2 linked regions of the Caenorhabditis elegans genome follow. The protein of the gene in region 1 interacts with the protein of each later gene in a pairwise test. Each region holds a gene or a part of one and is shown in the gene's direction. Other genes may lie near its edges.

Region 1 (13,611 bases):
AACATCTGAAATTATTCCAAAATGGGCTAGTTTCATCAAAAATCTACAATGTGCAAACGACGATTTTTGAACAACATTATGAATTTTTTGTCTTTATTTCCACCAACTTCACTTCAACGTTTCACATATATCTTTCCGGGCCAAATATGTTGCTCTTCCTCATTGTGTTGCTTTTCAGGATAGCAGCTCATTCTTAACCGAAAAGCACAAAGTCAATATTTGATTAAAACTGCGTTGCTTTTCGTCTTTTCTTCCACCTCCCCATCATTTTTCGTGATCTACTGCTGCTAGTCTAACACCAAAAGCGGAGAAGATTTATTCGAGAACAGAGATGTTGGGAGAGTAAAAATGAAAACAAAAAAAAATCATTATCACACTTAAAATTAGCCAAGCAAAAATAAGAAGCAAAAAATTTAAAATAATAATAATTTATTATGTTACAAAGAAAATTACACATGTTTACCATCGCATAAGTTAATAGAGAAGAAGCCATTCAGAGTTCATTCACACAGAAAAAATCGATAATGTTTTTGGGGAATTTTAAGATATCAAAACTTACTGGCGATAGCGCTTTTAAGGGGGATAATTAATATTTCTTCATGACAAAACCATTACGGGGGCGGAGGATGCTTTAAATAAATTATGCGTTGAGATTGGAGTATCACAACCTTTTTTTGACATTTTGCTCAGGAATACAAAGAGATTAGCACCAGCACGATCCCTCGTCGGTGACAATTTGACGCTGACGGATTGGGTCCATCGTGACCACATTTGCTGAAAAAAATCATGGCTTTTTGAAGTTAAAAAGGTTTTTAAAACTTACGTGGCTCCACTGGGTCGTCCTTGATGATTCCTGGTAGGGCTCCGGCGATACGACGGAAAAGCTGCTTCACATTGTAGCCGGCCTTGGCAGAAGTCTCGATGAACATCACATTAAGCTCCTTGGCCTTTCTCTCTCCTTCGTCGGTGGTGACTTGCCTGAACAAAATATGTAAGTCTTATGTCAGTTACAAATTAATAGACCTGGAGCATTACACATTGAGTTTATTAGTTAGGTTAACAGGTTTCAGAAAAAGATAGTTCAGCTAAGACCACGCAAGATCAGCTCGAAACAGGCCAGCGCAAGGTAAGTTTAGCTTGAACTAATTCTGTTTAGAATGCGCATTTTTAGCCTAATGTAACGTAGATTTTGCTCAGGAAAAATCAAATTATGGGAGATTCAGCTTATGTAGCTTATGTAGTAGGTTCAACTGAATTGTGTTTAAGGATGAGCTGGAGATAGAGAGCTTGGGCTTGAAAAGCGTAGGCTCTGATTATAAAAAATAAACTTGAGGTAGGTCCAGTTGAAGCTAGTTCAAGTTAGTGCAGATCCAATTTATGTTAACGTAATTTCAGTTAAAGCTATTTCCTATCTCCAAACAATATCTTTAGAGAAGGTTTTAAGCTAGCCAAGATTTCATACTGAAAGTTATGCCGATTAAAACTTCAGCCTGGAGCTACTTAAATGCATATTCCGCCGTTTCCACTACACAATTTAATTGAATTTTTAGCGGAAACTCTCATTCGAACCTCTTATCGGAAAGATCGGTCTTGTTGCCGACCAACATGATGATTACATCACTTCCACGCTCAGTACGGACGTCGTCAATCCACTTGGAAGTTTGATGGAAAGAGTTGGAGTCTGCAAAAAAGTTGGGGTTAAATGAAGCTTTTTTGTCGTTACCGAGAGTTTTTTCATTGCCCACCCTAGTTCAAAATCAAGATTAAACAAAAAATAATGGTTTCCTTTTGGATTCTAACTTTTCTATCAATATAAATTGTTTTTTGAGCTTCTCTTCTTGCTAGAAGCTTTTCGCATTAGAGCTGCCAGTGACTATTGTAGTATTAAACCAATATAGTTATTATAGTTACTACTATATACACTACTATAGTTAAAAAATTTCTCCCAGAGGATCCAGTGTGAAGCTTTACAGCATGAAACATCAGAAAAACTTCTTCCAAACTTACTGGTGATGTCATAAACCACAACAGCAACTGTAGAATCACGGATGTAGGATGGGATGAGTGAGCGGAAACGTTCCTGTCCAGCGGTGTCCCAAAGTTGAAGACGAACCTGAAATTACGGATTTTGAAATCATTTCTTTACGCAAAAACTGATTTCTTACGGTTCGGTCCTCCAAGTACATGGTCTTACTCAGGAAGTCGATTCCGATGGTGGCCTGGTAGGTGTTGTCGAAGGAGTCGTACATGAAGCGAGTGATTAGGGAGGTTTTTCCGACTGAAATTTAGAAACTTGAGAATTCAATATCTACGGTAGAATTTCAATCAAAATACTCACCACTTTGTTCCCCGAGGAACACAAGCTTGAATTTCTTCAACGGATTACCAAAGTCCGACATTTTTCTGTAATTTTTCTAAAATTAAATCAAGTTTTATTTTAAAAAAATTATAAATGAAACTTCTCGCAAGAGGAACACGAACACGAGACAAAATAACGGAAGAGATGTGGTCACTGCCACGCAGGGACAAAAATCGATAGGAGAACGGGTGTAAGGCACGGAAAAGAGGAGAAATGCAACATTTGGGCCGCATCTGTGTCTCTTTTTCTCATCGATTGTCTCTCCTCGCTTTACGAACAACTGAGCAGTAGAAAACGAAAAAAAAAGGAGACGAAAATGAGAAATTTGAAGCGAAACGAGCTAAAACTGATGAATTTAAACCGTAAAAGGTTTATGAAAACGGAAATATGCTATGCAGTGAACACTTTCCCCCTCTCAGCCGGTCAACCACGTAGCGATATGCAGGGGCAGAGACTCAGGCGAAAGGGGTTTCCCGTCGAGACCCGACCCCTCGGCCGCTCGTAAATCCACACCTGCGCACTGCGCACTGACCATAACAACACGTTTAGATGAGGGAGTTTTGTTTGTTTTTTGAATAGAGGTCAACTTAACGTTTCGGAATTTTGATTTTTGTTCAATAACTTCAAACAAATCTGAAACTGCAGCTCAGAAGTTTAATTTCTATTAATTCTTAACAATTTGTTTGCCTGATCTGTTATTAAATACAAAAATTATTTTAAAAAATAATTTTAAAAAAAGAGGGTTTTAAAAGAAAAAAGTACACAGTTAAAAATCGAAATATTTAATACTAATACTGAATTTTTTTCCAAAACAAAGATTTATTTTTTTAACTTCAATTTTTGCAGACTTAAATAAAAAACGTAGTTTTATCAGTGTTTCAAATATGCAGCTGTCACAAAAGCAGCGCAAACGAGTCATTTTTTGAATTAACATGAAAAGTTGTACATTTGAAAATTTTAGTTCAGAATTCAGAATAATCCGAACTATAGAAACTAAAAGTCTCGGAACTTTTGGAATAATTTTCGGCAAACAATCGTAAAACAATATTCAAATGGATAGCTAATTTTAAAATGAACTCTTCACAGAAAATATGTGTTCTTAAAAAATTTGTTTCATAAATAATAATATTAAAACTCTAATTAGTAACTTCAATTCGCTATAGCTGTGCCATGAACTTTGGAAAATGTGCCTAATCCATTTTTAGCAATCTAAACAAGTCTAAAGGAAAATTATTTAAAGAAAACAGACGTAAAAATTAAAAAAAAACACTTCAAAACATTTATGACTTTTTTTTGGTTTACTTTCAAGCATTTTAATCACCGTTTTAAATAGCTAATTTCCACTGAAGGAGACCAAATGAGTCATAATTTGATATAAATGCGTAGGAGGCATTTTCGTGATTGGTTTTATTATGTTTTAACTTGAATTGCAAAAAAAATGAAAACGATACTTGAATCGTCATTAGATTCATGTCCAAACTCTGGGAAATGTCTAAACAAAATTCAAACAGTGAGATTCAGACTAGGGACGAGAGGCTCTTCCGTTCGGCAAATTTTTTTGTCTGCCTCCTTCCTAAAACCCCCATCTTGCCACACACACGCGTTTTCGGTGTTCAAAAAATGTTCAAAAAATGTCCGAAAAATGTGTAATACAACTTTGAACGTTTATATCTCGGCTCTCACGGAACCGATTTTTGAAATTCTTTTTTCTCTACATTCACAAAGTATAGCGACGTGTGTTCATCTAAAAGGGGGTTGATTTTGGAGCATCCTGTCGGCTCCACAAGCGGAAAACCACACCCTCTTGTTTTTGCGCACACCGAAGTACTGGCCGAAAACCACTTTAAATTGAAGGAAAATTCGAGTTTATGTTCAAAACGTTTGAGACTCGAAACTTAAGTTCTCCTTTTCAATGCCTATCCATTGTATCTAAGTTCATTGTGATATCTCTATTCGTTATTTTAAAAACGATAATTAAAGTTTTGCCAAAATTTCTGCACCTCCCCCCTTTTCTCACACACACACCCACCTCCCCTTTTCATATTTGGTGTGTTTTCGGCCACATTTTCACCATTGTTTCGGTCATATCTCCGTTAGTCTTGCTCCTTTTTCAAATTTTTTTTTGGAAAAATGTTCATCACATCGAGAGGAAGCGGAAAATATAATTTTTTGTTTCAAAAAAGGTAAATAATAGTCTCAAAAATAGAAAAAATGAACACTTCTTTCAAACAATTTACATTTTTCCATAAAATTCACAAACTTTCCACTATCGTTCCGGTTTTTATGTTAAATTTAGAATTAATAGAATAAAATAAAATGAAATCTCAAATCACAGCTTGATCCGATCATTTTTCGCAGAGATAGGTTATTTAATTTTTGCACATGGAAATCCAGTTTTCCTCTGTTCCTGGACAAGTTTTCAACTATCCTTTCGATTTGATGTTTTAATTTTGATAATTTTCATTGAAGCAAGGTAGACAAACTAAATTTGGTCGGTCTTGACAACTTTCAGCACATTTGTGGAAGTTTTGAGCTTCCAGGCCTTCCCAGAAGGTGATATGTTTCAATTTTTGTTATTTTTAAACATAATAACCGCCGTATTATTCTACTTTTTACGCCAATTTCAACAATTATTTAATTTTTCTCAAACTCCTACTATGAGCAAAGTTATGACGGATTGAAGTTTTAGTGCATGACTCCTCACAGGCCGCCTCTCCTCACAAAAGGCTGCATGCGTGCGGGTGGCTGGAAAATGTTTTCTTTCCAAAAAAAAACAATAGAAAGGCACTTTAACTCTAAGAAGAAGTTCACTTTGAACATATACTTCAGGCATTGCAGGCCGGAGGCCTGCTGTGCGATTACAACTGTTTTAAGCCCAGATTGGCTGGATTGAGTGCCGCAGGCACTCTTACTCTTAGAAGACGCAGTCAACCTTAAATCATTATACCAAGGCAGGCCGGAGGCCTGATATGCGATTACTCTTAGATAAGTTTGATTTAGAAAGCTTTTATTATTTTCAGTTTTCTAAAACAATCCCCATTCCCGAAGGGCTGGGGGCCCACAGGCGTTCACGATTTTCCAAAAAGTAGATGTTATTCTCTCGAACCTAATAACCAGGTTTGAGGGCCGCAGGCCCGAACACTCTTGGAAACTATGGGCTGGCTTTGATCCTATTCTAAGCAGATATGTTATTAACTCAAGCCTAATAACCAGGTTTGAGGGCCGCAGGCCCGAATACTCTTGAAAACTGTGGGCTGGCTTTGATCCTATTCTAAGCAGATATGTTATTCACTCAAGCCTAATAACCAGGTTTGAGGGCCGCAGGCCCGAATACTGTTGAAAACTGTGGGCTGGCTTTGATCCTATTCTAAGCAGATATGTTATTCACTCAAGCCTAATAACCAGGTTTGAGGGCCGCAGGCCCGAATACTGTTGAAAACTGTGGGCTGGCTTTAATCCTATTCTAAGCAGAGCAGGCTGTAGGCCTGCGACGCGGTTGTTATTTACTCAAACCTAACAACCAGGTTCGAGGGCCGCAGGCCCGAACACTCTTGGAAACTATGGGCTGGCTTTGATCCTATTCTAAGCAGATATGTTATTCACTCAAGCCTAATAACCAGGTTTGAGGTCCGCAGGCCCGAATACTCTTGAAAACTGTGGGCTGGCTTTAATCCTATTCTAAGCAGAGCAGGCTGTAGGCCTGCGACGCGGTTGTTATTTACTCAAACCTAACAACCAGGTTTGAGGGCCGCAGGCCCGAATACTCTTAAAAAATTGTGGGCTGGCTTTAATCCTATTCTAAGCAGAGCAGGCTGTAGGCCTGCGACGCGGTTGTTATTTACTCAAACCTAACAACCAGGTTTGAGGGCCGCAGGCCCGAATACTCTTAAAAAATTGTGGGCTGGCTTTAATCCTATTCCAAGCAGAGCAGGCCGTATTCATGAGTTTTCCTTTTCCTTCACCGTTTTTTGTAGTTCACAGTGATGATTGAAAACACGCTTATTTTATTGAATACATTCAAATTATTCTTGAACAAAATCTCAGCCTAAGTTATTCGTACAGTGTCGGTCCTGGAGCAATGAATCAAAGTTTAAAGAGATTTCACTTTACACAGTAAGAGCTTCGAGGCGAAGCCTCAAACCTGAATAGTCAAGTTTTCTAAACATATACCCACTCCTAAAATAATTTCAAAGAGATCTCGAATATCCCGTTAACAGGTTCGAGGCGAAGCCGAGAACCTGCGCCAGCTACCTTGCTAATAACTTAGAGCGAATTAACCCTATCCCCATTCCCGAAGGGCTGGCGGGCCCATAGGCCCGCTAGTCGACAAATTAAGCAAATCGGCAGATTGCCGGTGTGCCGGAAATTTTCAATTCCGGCTGTATGCCAGTCTACCGATTTTCCGGACAATTTCATTTTCGGCAAAATGCCGATTAGCCGTTTGCCGGACATCAATTTACCGGAAGTGGCCAAAGGGATTTTTGAAATAAAAACAGATGTAGGAACATTCATAGGATGCCTACAATTTTCCCGATTAAAATTGAAATTTAAAAATTTCCAAGAAAAAATTTCGGGAATTTGCCGATTTGTCAAAAAAAAACCCCACCCCTTACTCAAATTTTTGCAATAGAATTATTTCAAATGTATAATGTTTTTATTGTCTATACTTCTGAGTGAATCGGAAACTAAACTCTTATTAGCTGTTTTTTCTTTCTCTTAATCCTGCGTCTCATTGTTCATGAATTGTGGATATTTTTATTTATAAACATTCTTGGTATACTTTTTTCATTGATTTTGAATAATAGTTGAACATAAAAAAACTGCTCAATTAAAGTACCAAAGTAACATTCATACGCTCCGAAGAACATGCACCTATGCACTTTGGACTTTATAGTGACTACACTGTTGCCATGTGGTCATTTACCTGCGTTACACCATCTGCGTCTCGCACTCTCTTACCACAACACTCTGCCAACACAACAAAGTGCCACACCTGACGACAGTCTGCGGACCATCGATCCCCCCCCCCCCCCCCCCTCCCCATATCTCGCATTCATTTCTCTTGAGTACACCACCCCATTTTCGCAGTTCTCTGGTTCTTTCTGTTTGATCTCTATTAATCTCATATTCTTCTAAATCATTGGCAGTTTTTCCCAAAACAGTATCAAAAGCGTGCCATCCTTATCACCTCCGTGACTTTCTTATCCATACCCAACAACAAGTAGTCTCCGCCCAAGCGGGCCAATTCTCCATCTCTCTCTCTCTCTCTTTACCTTCACAAAACATTTTTCTCTTGATGATAGCAGCAGACGCCACATACACCGTGTGTGTTCCAATTTTTTGTTGTTGTCTTTTCCTCAATTACTAGGATTATCGATTTTTCATAGCAAACTCTCAATAAAGTTTTTTTCAGAAAATGCTCTCCAGAAACTTGACGAAATGCACGCGTCTGTTCAGCACCACAAACAAGGCCATGTCAACCGGCATGGACTTCCAGTTGACCGCTGACCAAGCAGAGTTCCGTGCAAATGTTCGCAAGTTTGTTGCCGATGAGGTCATCCCAGTTGCCGGCGAATACGACAAAACCATGGAGTACCCGTGGGAGATCATCAAGAAGGCTCATGCACAGGGATATCTGATCGCCGACATTCCAGAAGCTTATGGAGGACTTGGAGTTGATATGGTCTCGAATTGTATCATCAGTGAGGAGATGGCATATGGATGCTCGGGTATTGCTACCGCTATCATGGCTAATGATCTTGCACTGACCCCGCTCATTTTATGTGCCAATGATGATATCAAGAAGAGATTCCTTGGTAGAATGATCGACAATCCGTTTGTGGCGGTAAGTATTTTCGAAATATACTTGAGTTCTTACGGTAAATAACACCTAATCAATTTTGTTTTAGTCCTACGCCGTCACCGAGCCAGGAGCTGGATCCGACGTCGCCGGAGTCAAAACCAAGTGTGAGAAGAAGGGTGATGAGTATATTCTCAACGGCTCAAAGATGTGGATCACAAACGCCGGACATGCTAACTGGTGAGTGAGTTCCACGTGGTGAGGATCTACGTCATTGTAAAGTCGGGCAGACTACAATGATTGGTCGACTACACAAAACTTGGACTTTGTACCGCTAGACGTGGAAATGAGAGAGAGAGAGAGAGAAATGGAATAGAGAAAGAAAGAATGCGACAGGAAGATGAAGAACCCTCGTTTTTCTTATCAAAACGTGTACTTATAATCAACAGGTCAAAGTGCAATGATTCTAGGAGACGCGAGAAAAAAGGTCTACCGTAGATATTGTTATGGGCCACTGTAAATCCATAAATATGCTGAATGGAGCATTCTGGAAAAATCTATCTGAAAATAAAATATTTTGTCGCTAAAAAATTCACAACATTCCTACGCTCTTTTTTCAGGTTCTTCGTGCTTGCCCGTTCCGACCCAGACCCAAAGACCGCAGCAGGAAAAGCCTTCACCGCATTTGTCGTTGAAGGGGACACCCCAGGACTCACCAGAGGACGCAAGGAGATCAACATGGGACAACGATGTTCAGACACCCGTGGTATTACCTTCGAAGACGTCCGTGTTCCAGCCGCCAACGTCGTCGGAGCCCCAGGAGAGGGATTCAAGGTCGCCATGAAGACATTCGACAAAACCCGGCCAACTGTTGCAGCACTTGCCACCGGAGTTGCTTACCGCTGCTTGGACGTCGCCACACAGTATTCTCTGGAGAGAAAAGCGTTTGGAACGCAAATTGCCAACCATCAAGGAGTGTCGTTCTTGCTTGCCGAGATGGCCATCAATTGTGAGCTCGCTAGATTGATGACCTACAAGAGTGGTGCAGAGGTAGGTCAAGCAGAATCAAATCAAGCTTTTTGAAGGATAAAATGTTTATGTTAAAATGGGAGGCGCCCCGTAAATTTACAAGTCCGCAAACACCATGACGCATTTGATGCAGCAGGCAGAACATCACAGTGATGTACATAGGAATATGAGCATAAAATCGGTACTATTATAGGAAATTACAAAACGCTATACGAACTTCAAATGCTGATTAAACTTAGAAAAGATTGGTCAGCACGCTAATTGCCAGCCATTTTCTGCAGAAACACACTCAAACTATCATAATTTCCCTCACTCTTCCAGGTTGACGCTGGCCGCCCAGGATCCTACTACGCTTCGATCGCCAAGCTCTTCGCTTCCGACACTGCCAACCAAGCCGCCACAAATGCTGTGCAAATCTTTGGAGGAGCTGGTTTCAACACTGAATACCCAGCGGAGAAGCTGATGCGTGACGCCAAGATCTTCCAAATCTACGAGGGAACTTCGCAAATTCAACGCATGGTCATTGCTCGTCAGTTGCTCGCTCGAGTCGCTCAGAATGGAGGATATTAGCACGCCACCCGTTTTTCCCCGTTTGATCACAGTTTTGTACAAAACACTGGTATATTTTGTAATTGTAAATGATTTGAAAAAAAAAGAAACAGTTTTGATTTACTTGCTTTTTTTATTTACTTTTCGCACTTTACGGTTTGTCACCGTGTTACATATTTTTGTATTGTTTTTTGGTTGTTTTTTTTTAATTCTCAGGTTTTAATTCAAAAGTTGCAGGTTAAATATGCTTTCCCGAATTGCAACATCATCGCTGGGGCTTTCCCGCTCTGCAACCGGAGTCATTGCCACTCAATCTCGTCAAATTTCTTTTGGTAAGTTGAATATACTTTTGGCAACTTATCCAAAGTAATCTAGATTTTAGTAGCTCTTGAGAATAGACAGAGCAAAACTAAATAACTGTACGAAACTTAATTTGACAATTTTCAGACCTCAGCGAAACCCAAAAGGAGATTCAAGACGCCGCTCTCAAGTTCTCCAAGGATGTTCTCGTCCCAAATGCAGCCAAGTTTGACGAGAGCGGAGAGTTTCCATGGGAAATTGTCCGACAGGCTCATAGCCTTGGACTCATGAACCCACAGATTCCGGAGAAGTATGGTGGCCCAGGAATGACCACTCTTGAGACTGCCCTCATTGTTGAAGCTTTGTCCTATGGATGCACTGGTATTCAACTTGGTATCATGGGACCATCTCTTGCCATTGCTCCTGTCTACATCTCTGGAAATGAGGAACAGAAGAAGAAGTATCTTGGAGCACTCGCTGCGGAGCCAATTATTGCTTCGTACTGTGTGACTGAACCAGGTGCTGGATCTGATGTCAACGGAGTTAAGACCAAGTGTGAGAAGAAGGGTGATGAGTACATTATTAATGGATCCAAAGCCTGGATTACCGGGGGAGGACATGCTAAATGGTTGGTAAAAATTGCGTTGGGTTATAAAAATTAAAAATATATTTTCAGGTTCTTCGTGCTAGCCCGTTCCGATCCAAACCCAAAGACTCCAGCTGGAAAGGCTTTCACCGCCTTCATCGTTGACGGTGACACTCCTGGAATCACCCGTGGAAAGAAGGAGAAGAACATGGGACAGCGATGCTCGGACACCCGTGTCATCACTTTTGAAGACGTCCGCGTGCCAGCCGAGAATGTGCTGGGAGCCCCTGGAGCTGGATTCAAGGTCGCCATGGAAGCCTTTGACATGACGAGACCAGGAGTTGCCGCCGGAGCACTTGGACTCTCGTGGAGATGTTTGGACGAGTCGGCCAAGTATGCTCTGGAGAGAAAGGCTTTCGGAACCGTAATTGCCAATGTAAGAGCTTGCATATGAAACCTACAGCGGAGCTACGATAGATAAAACATTAGAAATGATCGAAGAACTTCGTTCCTGGAAGGGACTTTTCGCCACGGTCTTTACTTGTTTCAGATTTTTCAGAAGTTTTCAAATTGCACATAAAATAATATTGACAATTTCCAGCACCAAGCCGTCCAGTTCATGCTTGCTGACATGGCTGTCAACCTCGAGCTCGCTCGTCTTATCACCTACAAATCCGCCAACGATGTCGACAACAAGGTGCGCTCTTCATACAATGCTTCGATCGCCAAGTGCTTTGCCGCCGACACTGCCAACCAAGCTGCCACCAACGCTGTTCAGGTTTGTCTTACCAAAACTGATTACTAAAGGCAACCTACATAATTTCAGATCTTTGGAGGAAATGGCTTCAACTCTGAGTATCCAGTGGAGAAACTGATGCGTGATGCCAAGATCTATCAGATCTACGAGGGAACCTCGCAAATTCAGCGCATTGTCATCTCGCGCATGCTTCTCGGACATTTCGCGCAAAATGGAACTAGCAGAATTTAGGATGTGCCGTTTTTGAGCAATTTGGTTACACAACACGAGGTCTCTCCAGCCACTAAGTATCTTTTTTGTATGATTTGTATACACGTTTTTTGAATGAAAATGATTGAAATGAATGGGTTTTATAAATTTGAAGTTTTAGAATTTGTATAGGATTTTGCAGGTTTTAAAGTGAAAATCAATAGACGAATGTCTACTTTTACCCAATTTTTTCTCAATTATTCTTAATTCAATTAAGCAAATGAAAATATTCAAACAATTTTGTTTATAGAAAAATATTCGCAGCAACTTTGCATTGCTAATTGGTGTGTTGGTATACAAAAAGAAAAATATTACACTTTAGATTTATTGAATTTTCGCTATGAAGAAATAAAGCAATTTTTGTCAGCAATTTCTTAAAACCTAAAACCGTTATGCTCGGTTTTCAATTATTTTGTTTAAAATACCAAGCTTTGTATTTTTGTACACATCATCATTAAATTCTCGATCTCCATTTATTGGAGGTTTGATTTTTGATTGTTAACTTATTTGTGTGTTTTATGTTTTGCATTTTGCTATTTGTAAATATGAAGCCCAGGTTTTGTTGGGAAAATTATGGTTTCCTTTATTCTTCGAAGGTGCCTTCTTTTGAAGTTTACGAATTCTTCATTTACAAATGATCAGAAATTGAACTTTGAGGTTTCTGGATTGTAACGGGAAATTTTGACCAAATTGATAGTTTACATGCAAGACTAATAATGGAAGTACGGTGAGTTACTCTCGAAAAAAGTTAATGTTTAAAATTTCTTTGAATTCTGTACAGGCGGAGGAAATTGACAAATTTCTAACAAAAATGTTTCAATCTTCCAAGGTTCTGCTCGAGTTTTGGCAAATTGTTAAGCTTTAAAAAAATTGTGTTTTTTTGAAAAACTTCAAGCATTTGCTGCAGGTTTAAATTGTTGCAATGTTCACACAAAGTGATTGAAGCTTAATTTAAACACTTAACAATATTTTACAACATTGTTTATGGCGCATTTTGAAAATTAGGAAACAAGCAGAGTTTCCCAATTTTCAAATGTAATTTTGAAGAATCCCGTTTTTTTTCTTTTTTTATGATCCATCTTCATGCTTAGCACACAACCAAGTTTTCTCAGCCACTTTTGATTTCTGATAATTCACGAGTCTTCTTTTAAATTTTATGGGTCGTCAAAATGAATGAACAAGAGTTTATTAAATATTTATCACCCATCTTTGTTCAGTTGTTGACCAGCGCTTTGCATTTCTAATTGCTTGCTAAGGCAACACGTAACAAGAATTTCCACAACATGTTCTTTTCCGATGACTTTTCCGTTATTTCAAATGGTTTTGTAGTATGAAACTTGACACAGAAAATCATTTGAATAATATCTCGAAGACATAAAACACTCAAGTCAATTAAGACATCATTTTCCTTTATATCGCACTTGACCTTTTCTTCCTGACTCTTCATTCCACCTTTTTTCTGGCGAGAACCGTGCGGCTACTCCTTTTGTATGATGACCCAATTGGACATGTACAAACAGTGAAAAGATCGACAATGCGGTTTTCACCTATTCATTTCTGGAGACTTGGAAAGTGAAAACACAGGAAAACGAGAATGAGAGGAGGAAGTGAGGAGTTCACACTAATCACAGATACACTCACCCGACCTCCAGTTTCTTTAAACAGGTTTTTAACTATTATTACACTGCGATATCATTTAACTATCAGTTTGCGTATTGTTGCTATTAGTTTTTTGTCTAACTGTTTTCAAAACTTATGTCCAAAAAGTTTGTTGCAGAAATTTCGTACCTGAATCCCAGATCCGCAGTGCATAGCACTTGAAAAACGGATCGTCCTTTAATCCTTTGTTTCAACTAACATTATCAAAAGTGAAATAATCAAACCGTCAAATATTCATATGAAACTTCTCAAAAAATTACTTTAAAAATGGTTAATATCCACTTTTCAAGCTTGTAGGTGTTATTATTTACTGATCTTTTTGG
Region 2 (11,789 bases), on another chromosome or scaffold:
ATGGAAAAATATTATAGTTCTTTTTGATATATTATGGTTGAAATGACTTACTACATAAGATTTTGAAATTAAACTATTGAAAATCAATTGGCAAATGCCCTGAGTGTTTGCCTGAAAAAAAAACACAATACAATACACGAAAGCGCACACCCCCTTTCAACAGAGAAAAAGTGGAAAAGAGAATAGGCGACAACTGCACACAAAAGGCAAACATAACATTCTCCATCTCTCCAATGAAGGCAATTTGGCGTGGGACACAAATTTGGGCAATTTCAAGCTAAAAATTGGGGCTGGCTGAAATGCAAAACATTTCGACCACGGCAGGACTCGAACCTGCAATCCCCAGATTCGAAGTCTGGTGCCTTATCCATTAGGCCACGCGGCCATGAAAACCAGTACGTTGAGACGGAAAACACGTCTCGCAGTAACAAGAGGGGGAGACATAAGAGGTGGAAGAAGAGAGGAAAGAAATATGAGTAAACTAAAACTGAAAAAGTCCATAAACTGTGTCTTTTTGTAAAGTTTTCAAGATAATTCGATGACGTGGAGAATAGGGAAATGGTAAAAAAGTGGGTTTGAAGTGGTTTTCAAATCACCAACAGAACCTGTTCACAAGTGGTGACCGAATAAGAGGGTGTGGTACTTACGGAAAAAAGAAAATACTTGATGGAACTGAAGGAAAAATTGGTTAGGATTAGAGGGAAATCGAACGTTTCAGAAGAAATGGTTTTTTTTTAAAGTCTAAGGGAGATTTCATCAGTTAAAAAGTCCAGTTTATTCAATTATCTTTACTGAAAATGCCGTATTTTTTCAAATAGTCTCACAATCCGCTATTTCACTTTGAAAGGCTATATCTCGGTTTATATTGGAGATATCAATAATCTGCCAATTACAAACCGATAGTAAAATAATTAAAAAATATTTAGTGTGTTGACAATTTTTGTATATAACAGACGACAACTGAGATAAGAGCTGCCAAAGTTGAACAAACTGGTGCAAAACTAATTGAGGAGTTAACTACACCAACGTGCATAAATGTATGCATAAAAACGTTCAAAACGGATTCTCAAATAAGAGATTTCATGGTAGGTAGGCACTTCTTCAGGATTATCTGATTTCCTCATTTTAATTCAAAAATCTTCTGAAGGTATAGGTAGACTTGTAAGAATATTCCGGGAATCTTTACCTCCTTTAGTAGCAGTTGGAACAGAGACAACAAAAGAGTGACATTAAAGAGATAAAAGAAGAAAATGAAAACATCTTTCTTTCCAAAAAAAGCGGTCAATTCAACCGGTTTTCTGATCTACCACTACCAATCGCTTTATCACTCACTATCTAGGTCAGCTTTTTTTATCAGAAAAAATAACGTTTGAAGGCTCAAACATAGGCTTTTGGCTTCTTATATTTGATGATCCATATAGGAAAAGTGTACAGTCCAATGCACTAAAATGTATATAGTTGTAGATGATTTTTTTTAATTTTGGACTGCCTATTGTCTAGTGTCTCCGCGGCTGCTGACTCCTCAGCACAATTTTGATTGAACTAATATATATTTTAGAAGACGAAGCGAAGAGTCGAAATTGTTTATGTTGACTCTCAACTACAAGATGTGCTGGGTGGGTGTATACAAAATTTCGTGGTGAGACCCAAATTGGGTCCAATATGCTGGGTCCAATATGCTGGCATTTATTTAATCGGGGACAAGCACAGGAAATGTTGTGCTCATTATTTTAATAGTAAAAGACTTTTGAAACAACATGTATGCACGTTTTTAGTAGCTGAAACGTGAGTTTTGGCATAGATTTGTACATATATCCTAACTAGGATCTACACAAGGGCGCGAATTGTCCACAATTACATTGAGGCTCCGTTAATGCACGAAAAGGGCAAAAAGGCGGAAAAGGGGCACGTAAGGCAGCCTTGCCTACTAAGCCGCTGAAATGGACCAACTCTGATTAAAATAAAAATTGGACATAGTTTTCCTTAAAAAGAAGCTTTCAGTTATTCAAAAACAACTGTTAAAATATTTGTTAAAATTATATTGATTCCCAACAGAAAACCAGACACATGAGAAATAAGTGAGCTTTTGCAATGAATGGAGAACCTAATTGAATGGAACCAAAGCTTCATGGCGGTGTGCTTTTGGTGTGTCATTGCATTGATTCTATAGACCGGAAACTGGGAATGTCATATAAATTGGAAGGTACTGTGCAAGAAATTATGTACAGAAAAAAATTTGAAAAATCTCAGAGTTGAGGAAAGATGTTCACATTTTTCAATAGAACATGCAAAACTTTAATTCCAAGTCAAAAAGAATACACCCGCATGAACAGTAAAATTCATAAAAATGAAATTCATGCACTGTCCCATTGTCCCGGGTACAAAAGATCCCGAAAATAGTGTTTGATTCCTGGAGGGTGCGCAGAGAATCTAGAATGAAAAAGGGAAGGACTCAGGAGCCGCACCGGAGTATGTGTGTATGTGGCGTCGCCCCGCAAATGCCGATCAGTTACACAAACACGCGAATAAATATATAGAAATACATGGAATGGCGACGAGAAGTTGACACACTGACATTGTATTACTATAGGTATTTTAAGTGAGAAAAATGGATCACTACAAGTGGAATTTGACACCTTTGAATGGCTCCGCAACTTTGGTCAGAGACATCTTTATTAGCGCAAAAAACTAAGAGTTTGATTACTTTAATGTACAATTTTACTAAACTGCGTATCTTCAAACTGATGTATCTTAAAAAATGCACGTCTAGAAAAGTAATGTTCAACTAACAAAATAATCAGAAATATTTTTTCTTTCTTTTGCATTATTTTTCTTTGCAAAATATCAATTATTTCTTGAGTTGCACAGAGTCAAACACATTTTCTCAAAATTTACAAAAATGTTTCAGAACTGTTCTGTTGTACCTGTCATAACTCAACATCCATTGAATTTCCGAATGCAAATTTTATTTAATAATAATTCTAAGATATTTTGCTACATTTTATCAGTTTAAAGTTTTTTGATATTTTCATGTTCAGCCAAGTTACAGGCCGTTTTTTGAAAAAATCCAATTTCGTCCATAAAACTCTTCATATCCAACGTATCGACTTGAAATTTTGAAAAATGATCACTTTTTTGAGGTTTCTACAATGTCATAAAAAATCTTTCAAAAATGTTGGCTCATCTCCAAAATCGTCCTCCGCTCCAAAATAAGAAATGGGACTTTTGCTTTTCGGAAAATGACCAAAAAATGAAATTGCGATTTTTGGGTCGAAAAATATATTTTTAGAAAGCTGAGAACATGTTATTTACGATTTTCATGTTCATTTTAGGTGATTTCTTTTCTGAAATGACCTAAAAATTAAACAAAAAGCACATAATTTTAATTCTCACGTTTAATTTTTTATTTGCATTAAAACAATTGAAATACTGAGCAAATTACCAAATAATTACACGTGAGAATTAAAAATATGTTCTTTTTGTTTAATTTTTAGGTCGTTTCAGAGCAGAAATCACCTAAAATAAACATGAAATTCGTAAATGGCGTGTTCTCAGCTTTCTAAAAATATATTTTTCGACCCAAAAATCGCAATTTAATTTTTTCGCCCATTTTTCGAAAAGCAAAAGTCCCATTTCTTATTTTGGAGCGGAGGACGATTTTGGAGATGAGCCAACATTTTTGAAAGATTTTTTAGGACATTGTAGAAACCTCAAAAAAGTGATCATTTTTCAAAATTTCAAGTCGATGCGTTGGATATGAAGAGTTTTATGGACGAAAATGGATTTTTTCAAAAAATGGCCTGTAACTTGGCTGAACATGAAAATATCAAAAAACTTTAAACTGATAAAATGTAGCAAAATATCTTAGAATTATTATTCAATAAAATTTGCATTCGGAAATTCAATGGATGTTGAGTTATGACAGGTACAACAGAACAGTTCTCAAAAATTTTGGTGAATTTTGGCAAAATGGGTTTGGCTCTGTGTAACTCAACAAATTATTGTTATTTTGCAATGAAAAATAATGCAAAAGAAAGAAAACATATTTCTGATTATTTTGTTAGTTAAACATTACTTTTCAAGACGTGTAGTTTTTAAGTTACGATAGTTTGAAGATGCGCAATTTAGAGATTTTAACAGGATATTGCATATGATCATATTCGTACGTCTTATCTATACTTTGATTTTATTGGATTTCACATGAAAAAAAAACGTGCAGGCATTGATAAAATGTAGTCAAGAACTTTGGAGTCACCTGGGAAAAAAGGTTTCAGAGTCAATAAACTTAAAATGCCTATGACTAAATACAGTACTCATCAATTATTCCACAAATAATAGAAACATCAAAACCTTGAATAAATACGAGATGTCGAACCATCAGAACCACAAGCAGCTGGCCATTGCCGAACTCTTTTTTCTTGTTTAACCCCCCTCCCCGCCTCCGGTCACTTTGTCCCCCATCCATATCACTTTTTCATTTTTCGACTGGCTCTGTTGAGCCAAGCTTGAGAAGATTGATGGTTCTTGACACCTATCTATTATCCTAGCTGTTATCAGGGACATTGATATCTTCAGATAAAAAATGAGATTCGTGGTGAAAGTGGTCTGTCCTTCCAGTCGGGAGCAACATAAGAATAATTTTGGAAAGCAAAGAAACAGATTGGAAAACTTGAATTAAAAATTTGTCTATTGACTGCTATGAAACATTGAAACGATGAAGAAAGTACTGCCAGAATATGAAATGGAAGTAGACATAGTTAAACGACTTTCAGTTTCTCTGAAATATGAAGAAAAGTAGAAGAAGGAAAAGAAGAGATAGGCATCTAAATAGATGGATCTATGTTCGGAAAAAAGTTCAAACTATTTAACTTTAAATTAACTTTTTTAATCGATTTTACAGCACCGAATCAAACGTCAATGTAGCGTGAGATTCACTTATTCAAAGTCATTAGGGAACGATTCAAGACGAAATTGATTATTTAGAGTGATATCAAATGTAATGTCTGAAGTTCTAAAGTTCAGACTCTGAACATCGACATTGTTAAAATACAAATTGTGGATCAAAAAGTTCGTATAAAACTTTTTAGTCGACTTCCAAGTTTTAGAGTGGCGAAACGCAAGTAAAAATTGCAAAAGCTTTTTGAAAAGATTTTCTACGATATTTTATTATTTGAGCACTTTAAGAATGGCTCTATACAATATTCTCACTGAACAAAAAGTACTAGATTCATTAGAAAATATTGAAGAAAAAACTATCAAAACCTCCGTTTGGAATTCAAATCCAAAAACTAGGTGTGAACCTTTTCATCAGATTTGATCGGCGTGGCAAACTGAGTGTCAAAAGTGAGTAGTAGATGCCAATTAATTTCGGGCAGTTTGTCCTCCAAAAACTGTCGAAACCCAATGGAAGACCGAAATGTAGTAGTTATTCTCACTACTAATTGGAGACACAAATTTGAGAAATATCACATGGGACAGTGAGAAATAGAGATAGAAAGGAAACAAAAAATACATGAGAATTTCAATGTTGTTTTAGATAGAAAAAAACGAAGAGCGATCGGCAGGTATAGTCAAAACCTCAATTTCAACAATGTCGAGAGAAAGATAGGTTGATGTTTAAGAGACATAGACAGAATAACCGGTTAGTCTGATTCTTTACGCATTTTATTTTTCTTGTTTCCGCAATGAAAAATCTTCAAAAAAAAAGAATGCTGGTCACATTTTTATGAGTTATTTTTGGACAATCATCTCGAGGTATTTCGACATTTTTTAGAAAATGTTTTTAAAGAAAATCGCAGGTTTTTTTAGGAAAAGGTTATATTTTTAAATTTGTCAGTACTGAAAAAAAAACTATCAGAAAATTTTTTCAAAATTTTTTTGTCTACCTTGTGAAAAGCGTGATTTTCCAGCATAATCAGAGAAAAATCAGATGAAATTGTGAAATACTTTCGTATACGGTAGCAGAAAAGCATATATATTTTCAGAACCTTTGTTCTTAATGTTCAATAAAAAAAATTAAATCTTTCACGAAATTTTGCGCCAAAAATACGGTACCCGGTCTCGACACGAAAATATTTTGTTGAATACAAAAAACGTGCGCGTCTTTAAAGAGTACTGTAGTGCCAAACTTTTGTTGCTGTGGAAACTTCATCGATTTTTCAAGGATTTCCTCACGGATCGAGAGAAAAACACTATGAAAAATCGGTGAAATCTTTCTGTAGAAAAACTCTAGCGTTACAGTAATCTTCAAAGGCGCACACCTTTTTGCATTTAACAAAATTGTCGTTTCGAGACCGGGTACCGTAGTTTTGACGCAAAAATTATTGTATCTCGTTTATAAAATATAGAAAATTAAGTTTCAAGTAGAAAAAATGAGTGGAAAAGTACAAGAGGAAAGAGGAGAAAAGACGAAATCGAAGAAGTTTTGTCAAGTTTGAAATTTGATATTTCTTGTGTGCATCGTCTCTCTGTTGTTCTCGAATTATTTTTTCTAATTTATCATGTTTTTAATTAATTTTTCAGTAGAAAAGAATTCAAAAAATTATTCCGAGAGCGTGTTCTTATTTTTTTTCCAAAGAAAACTGCATAGTTCAATTTTCTTTTAATAAAATTATTTCCTATCGGATACTCGTTCTACTCGAAGATTTCGTAAAAATTCGTAACTAACATCTTGAAAATCTGGAAAAATGGCAACAACCAATGTAACGATGATGTCAGTGAAAAGTTTAACGACTACGGAATCAGATATTGAGGTTGAAAATTTTCTAGTTTTTCGAATTATTGATCCTTGGGGGTTTCAGGATGGTCCAAACCCAACGCCACCATATGTCTACATCCTTATCGAAGTCGGATACATCGTTTTGTTCGTAATAGTGACGTATTTGATGAGAAAATACAACTTTATGAAGGTAATTTCTCAGCATTCTTGTAATATATTATTGCATAAATCGAATGATTCCAGACAGACGATGACGCAGTTACAAAACACCATCGTCGCCATTTTGAAATGATGAAACGTCAGCAGGAAGATTTGATCACCAGGCAGAAATCCAATGAGAATTTCTTAGTTGCTAATAATGAAGGAAAGGCCTGAACAAAAAAAACTTGAAAAAACGGAATTAGTACCTGTATTGAATGATTGTTTTGGAAAGTTGAAATGGTGAAAAAGTGACAAAAGAAAAGAGGAATAAATGTGGGTAGAAGTGATGGAACATTAAAAAATCTACATCTTCGATAGAGCATAGATTACACAAGAAAAATTAATTTTTAAGAAAGGAATCATATTCTGTAGGGATGTCGTTCGGCTATTAAAAGCTCTTGTTTTCTTCGATTTTCCCGCTGACGTTGCATTTGTTTTTGTACTTGATTACTGTAGGCGACCGATATTGGACGGACGATCGGCTCATCTGTGTGCGCTGCAAGCTCATGCTTCCGGAGGCAGGAACTGAAAAGTTTGAAGATAGATTTGAAATCGGATTTCAAACAAAAAAAATCATTTAAATATCAACTTACTTATCTCTAAACCGTTTATCACATTTTCCACATCCATAGGGTAATTCTTTCGTGTGAGTTCTAATATGAGCCGTCAACGCCTGGCTTTGTGCAAAAGATTTCATACAGTAACCACAAGAGTATGGTTTCTCTCCAGTATGAATTCGCTCGTGAACAAGCATGTCTTTTTTGAAATGAAATCGAAGATTACAGTAACTGCAACTATATCGAGCTGATTTTCCATTTGGAAGAAGATCTTCAGGTGGTGGGCCAGAATCGAATGTTGCTGGATGAGCGGTGGACTGAAATTTTCAATATTCTTAAATTTATTTTTTAAATGAAGAAAATCCTAAATTCTAACCTGATGATGCCTCAGCGCATCTTCTGTAGTGAAAAATCGCATACAAGTCTGACAAGTGCTCCGCGTGAAATGCATTTTATGATGCCGAGTTTTGCTTTCCAATTTCGAAAAGATCCGAGGACAATAATCACACGAAAACATTGGTTTCAATAACGAATGATCTTTTAAATGATGTGTCATCGAGGTTTTATTTGCAAATCGCATTCCACAATTGAAACATCGGAATGGACGAGCATCTCCGTGAACTTCCTGAAAAATTCCAGTTTTTTTTCAGGTTCTCGAAAAATCATACCTGAATATGTCTCTGATATACTTCTTTATTTCCGAAATACGTTTTGCAGTTAGTACACCGATATAATCCAGCTAATGCTTTCGGCGTTGTAACGGGCTTCGGATCGTTAATCCATGAATCCTGTGTGTCAAGTGGAGCTTCTGGAGCTTCTTCTGCACTGATAACTTTAAACCGAAGAACTCGTTGTCCGATTTTAATTGCCATTCTACGAAGAGGCACTGGTTGATGTTCTCCAGAAGATGGATTTGATGACGTCGAAGGTTGCATAGATGAGGAAGTACCTGATAAACAAAATAATTTAATGCGAGTGCCCATAAAGATTGATTAATAAATTAAAACATACAAGGAATAGCATGCATGTCAGTCCCTTCGATACTAAATTCTCCATCCATTTCAACAATTTGTTGCTCTCCAAAATCTTTACTCGTGGATAGTTGTTCCCTTTGGATTGTAGCGGTTTTCTGTACTCCATTGGGTGTTCTGGAAAATAAGATAATTTTCAGTGGAAACACAGTTTTCCCTTACTTGTAGCACTTTGTATTGGTCAATTCATATCCTATCGGTTTTTCCTCGTCCCAAGAACGTTGTTGTATTAAACTGCATGGCAAATCTGTACGAAAAGAATATTTTCAAAAGTTTTTATTGGAAAAATTTTAGTTTAAACCTACTTGGAGCTGTCGTGACTTCTTCTTCGTATATAACCATTGCAGAAGGGTCATTCATCATCATTTCTTCCATTTTTTGTACAAAAAATCATTACAAGTGGGATGAAACAGGGGTTTAAAAAGAGAATTCTGAAAATTGATTAAATCATGTGAAAAAATCGCGGTGTAAATTTACGATAAACAATGCGCGCGTGCGTTATATCGGAGTTTCGTTCCCATTCCTACGTCTCTCACTCTAGTTAATTATGGCGCATCGATGCTCTTGAGACTTAAATCAGAATTTTCATTAAAATGTTTATTTGATTGCAACATATTCATAAAATACACGAAAAAACATCAGAAACCCGCATTAAAATACAAGAAAAACAAAAAGAACCCGAACGTTCTATGAGTAAAAGTAAAAAGTTCTCAGGTGAAAACGAGTCTAGTTACGGTAATCATCAATCAAGTTGACTCTAGATCCATATAAATAATTATTAGCATTTTTATTCGAAATTGGGTCGAAGAAGGTTCGTTCAAAGACCACTTCATGAACACATTGTACGAAACCAAAGTCGTAGTGGGGATCGGCGCGAATGAAGAGACGGGTAGTGTTTCTGAAATGATAAAAGGTTTAAAAATGTTGAACATAAATTGAAAAATTTTAATTAGGTCTCGACGCGTCGATTTTTTTTTAATGTAAAGATGTATGCACCTTTAAACTGTACTGTACTTCCCAACTTCTTATTGTTATGGACTTTTTCTAGATTTTGTGTAGTTTGTAAACAATAAAAAATAAAAGTAATCAGGGAAATATGGAAAATTTGGATTTAAAAATATTATTGAGAAAAAAGTAAACCAACCTAATCGCAGAAAAATCCTCCATCGCGTACAGACAAGATCCATCAACATCATATTTCATCGTATCACATTTCTGTTCAACAACCGAAATTTCTCGATGCTGATCATTTGGTAAATCGAAATCTGGAGTTTTCAGAAGATAATCGTATAAAACTTTGTGTTGAGAGTGGGAAATTGTTGCCACTGAGCAGAGATGTTGAAGCCAGTTTCGAGACACTTGGAATACTGTAAATGGACATTTTGATAATCTTAAATACATAATTCAGATCTCACATTGACTAGAAGTATCGTTTGGATTTGCGTTTGCTAACGTTTCTTCTTTGAAATGAATTCTGAAAAAAATTGAAATTTCCAGAGGCTGTATATATTGGAGACCCAAGGATGATTGCGAAGGGGTGCTCATGCCTACGAAACTGTGCGCAAATTGCAAATTTTGCTATCAGGGCACGGTTCAATTGCCCGGTAATCATCTCATCCAAAAATCTGCTAATTCGAGTCTGATAACCGTTTTCCGCTTGCAACATCAGCCAAAGTGGCACAGTTTCGAAGGAGTGGTCATTCCCCTAGATTGAGATTCTCCGATGCAAGTCCCCTCTCCTGATTGCTTACCCATTCATCTCAACCATATCTCTTAATCGTCTAGACCTTCTCGATAAGAATTTAGTACTGTGAAGTGGGATGTCATGCTCCTATAAATAAAAATTTAGATTATCTCCCTTCACTCAGTTACCCACAGCTGTAATAACTGCATGCTTCCAGTCAAATTCATCAATTTCCCGTAGACACCTTCTATGAGCATTCAGAGTTCCGTGAGCTGTGGAGGTGTTGAACAGTTCACGTGGAACAAGAACATTCACCATACAATCACCGAGTCTGAACATCCTCTCTTTGAATAACGGCTCTGAATTTATGTCCAATACGAAACAGAAGAAATGAATTGGAGAATGCATCATTGCCAGAACTTCTTCCACAAAATCATAATCCTAAAATCATAAGGTTTCATGTCAACGGATACCCAAATGCACATACTTTTGAAACAACTCTAATAAAGAACATATTATGAAAACCCGACATTGATTTAGGAAGATCTGCAGGAAGATATCTACGACGTCGAATTTGGAAGCAGCTGGAAATTATTTCTAAGATGCTAAGGGAAACAAATTTAGAAACATACTTCCTATCATTATGCGTAGTCTCAAGTAATGTTCGATTCTCTATATAAGTCAAATAATCTTCTGAACTTTTGTTGAACATAATTGCACAGTCAATTTCATTGTTTGGTGCAATTGGGACAAATATGTGAAAACTGAAATAATTTTGGTCTTGTGAAAAAAATTGCATATTGATATTTGACAAACCTGTAAGTTGCATAAGCGGTCAGTGCAATAAACAATATTAGTAAAACACCAAGTGGAACTGAAAGAGCCCACATGGTTTTTGTGCAAAAATCGTGGTTCGCCATGGTATGAGCTCTGAAATTCCACAATTTAAGACGATTATGGAAAGATGATGACGGATTGACAAAGAAATCTCTTCGAAATTCATAATTGGAGAAAGAAATTGGGAATTTTGATTTTAACTATTTGATTTACTCTTTCACAACTAAGTTTGAATATTTGTAGACAGTTCCCTGAAGCTTGAAAGAATAAAGATCAAGTTCTGCAAAGTTTAGGGAAAGTGAAAAGGAAAAAAAAGTTCAATTCGCCAATCACAAGCCACAAAACTCGCCGATAGAAAAATAATCTGATCGAGAACAAATTGATCAGTCGGGAGGAGGATTCAGTCGAATCGATAACAATATATCGTATCGGACCGACTGTGACCAGCCAGACTCATGTCAGGTGGGACGGTAGTAAGAATAAGATGAAGACGCAGAATAATCAACAAAAAATTGGCGACATACAGAAAAAAGAACAGGTTCTTCTAGTTTATTTGGTTGTGTGTGAGCGGGTGGTGGGTGTTTAGGGGTCGAGAGATGAACGACCAATACATCATATTTTGTCTTAATCTACTGTAATAACACGTTCCACAGAATATAGCCGATGAGAAGTTGAAGGAATTAATGAAAATTCGAAGGAAAAGCTCTACATAGGAGCTGTAAAGGAAGTGCTTTAACTTTGAAGCACGCCATTTTCAAGAG

What was found.
Region 2: the proteins of acdh-7 (region 1) and F35H8.4 interact in a two-hybrid assay, tested with the Caenorhabditis elegans proteins (one large-scale study listed by BioGRID).

Annotation. Positions count from the first base shown.
Region 1 is NC_003284.9:17,211,267-17,224,877, reverse strand, and holds acdh-7 (Medium-chain specific acyl-CoA dehydrogenase, mitochondrial), read left to right. Parts: upstream 1-7,772; 5' UTR 7,773-7,775; coding exon 7,776-8,204; intron 8,205-8,268; coding exon 8,269-8,399; intron 8,400-8,779; coding exon 8,780-9,209; intron 9,210-9,509; coding exon 9,510-9,758; 3' UTR 9,759-9,860; downstream 9,861-13,611. Other genes in the region: Ras-related protein rab-6.2, read right to left, coding at 704-774, 824-978, 1,570-1,681, 2,008-2,113, 2,166-2,278, 2,339-2,399; acdh-10 (putative medium-chain specific acyl-CoA dehydrogenase 10, mitochondrial), read left to right, coding at 9,982-10,069, 10,185-10,665, 10,714-11,059, 11,225-11,401, 11,450-11,611.
Region 2 is NC_003280.10:9,554,837-9,566,625, reverse strand, and holds F35H8.4 (uncharacterized protein), read left to right. Parts: upstream 1-6,596; 5' UTR 6,597-6,686; coding exon 6,687-6,752; intron 6,753-6,800; coding exon 6,801-6,908; intron 6,909-6,961; coding exon 6,962-7,093; 3' UTR 7,094-7,129; downstream 7,130-11,789. Other genes in the region: Zinc finger protein zfp-2, read right to left, coding at 7,279-7,444, 7,513-7,793, 7,853-8,101, 8,145-8,425, 8,488-8,624, 8,670-8,754, 8,813-8,882; F35H8.2 (Glycosyltransferase family 92 protein), read right to left, coding at 9,234-9,405, 9,652-9,874, 9,923-9,981, 10,259-10,338, 10,384-10,632, 10,679-10,775, 10,824-10,955, 11,008-11,111.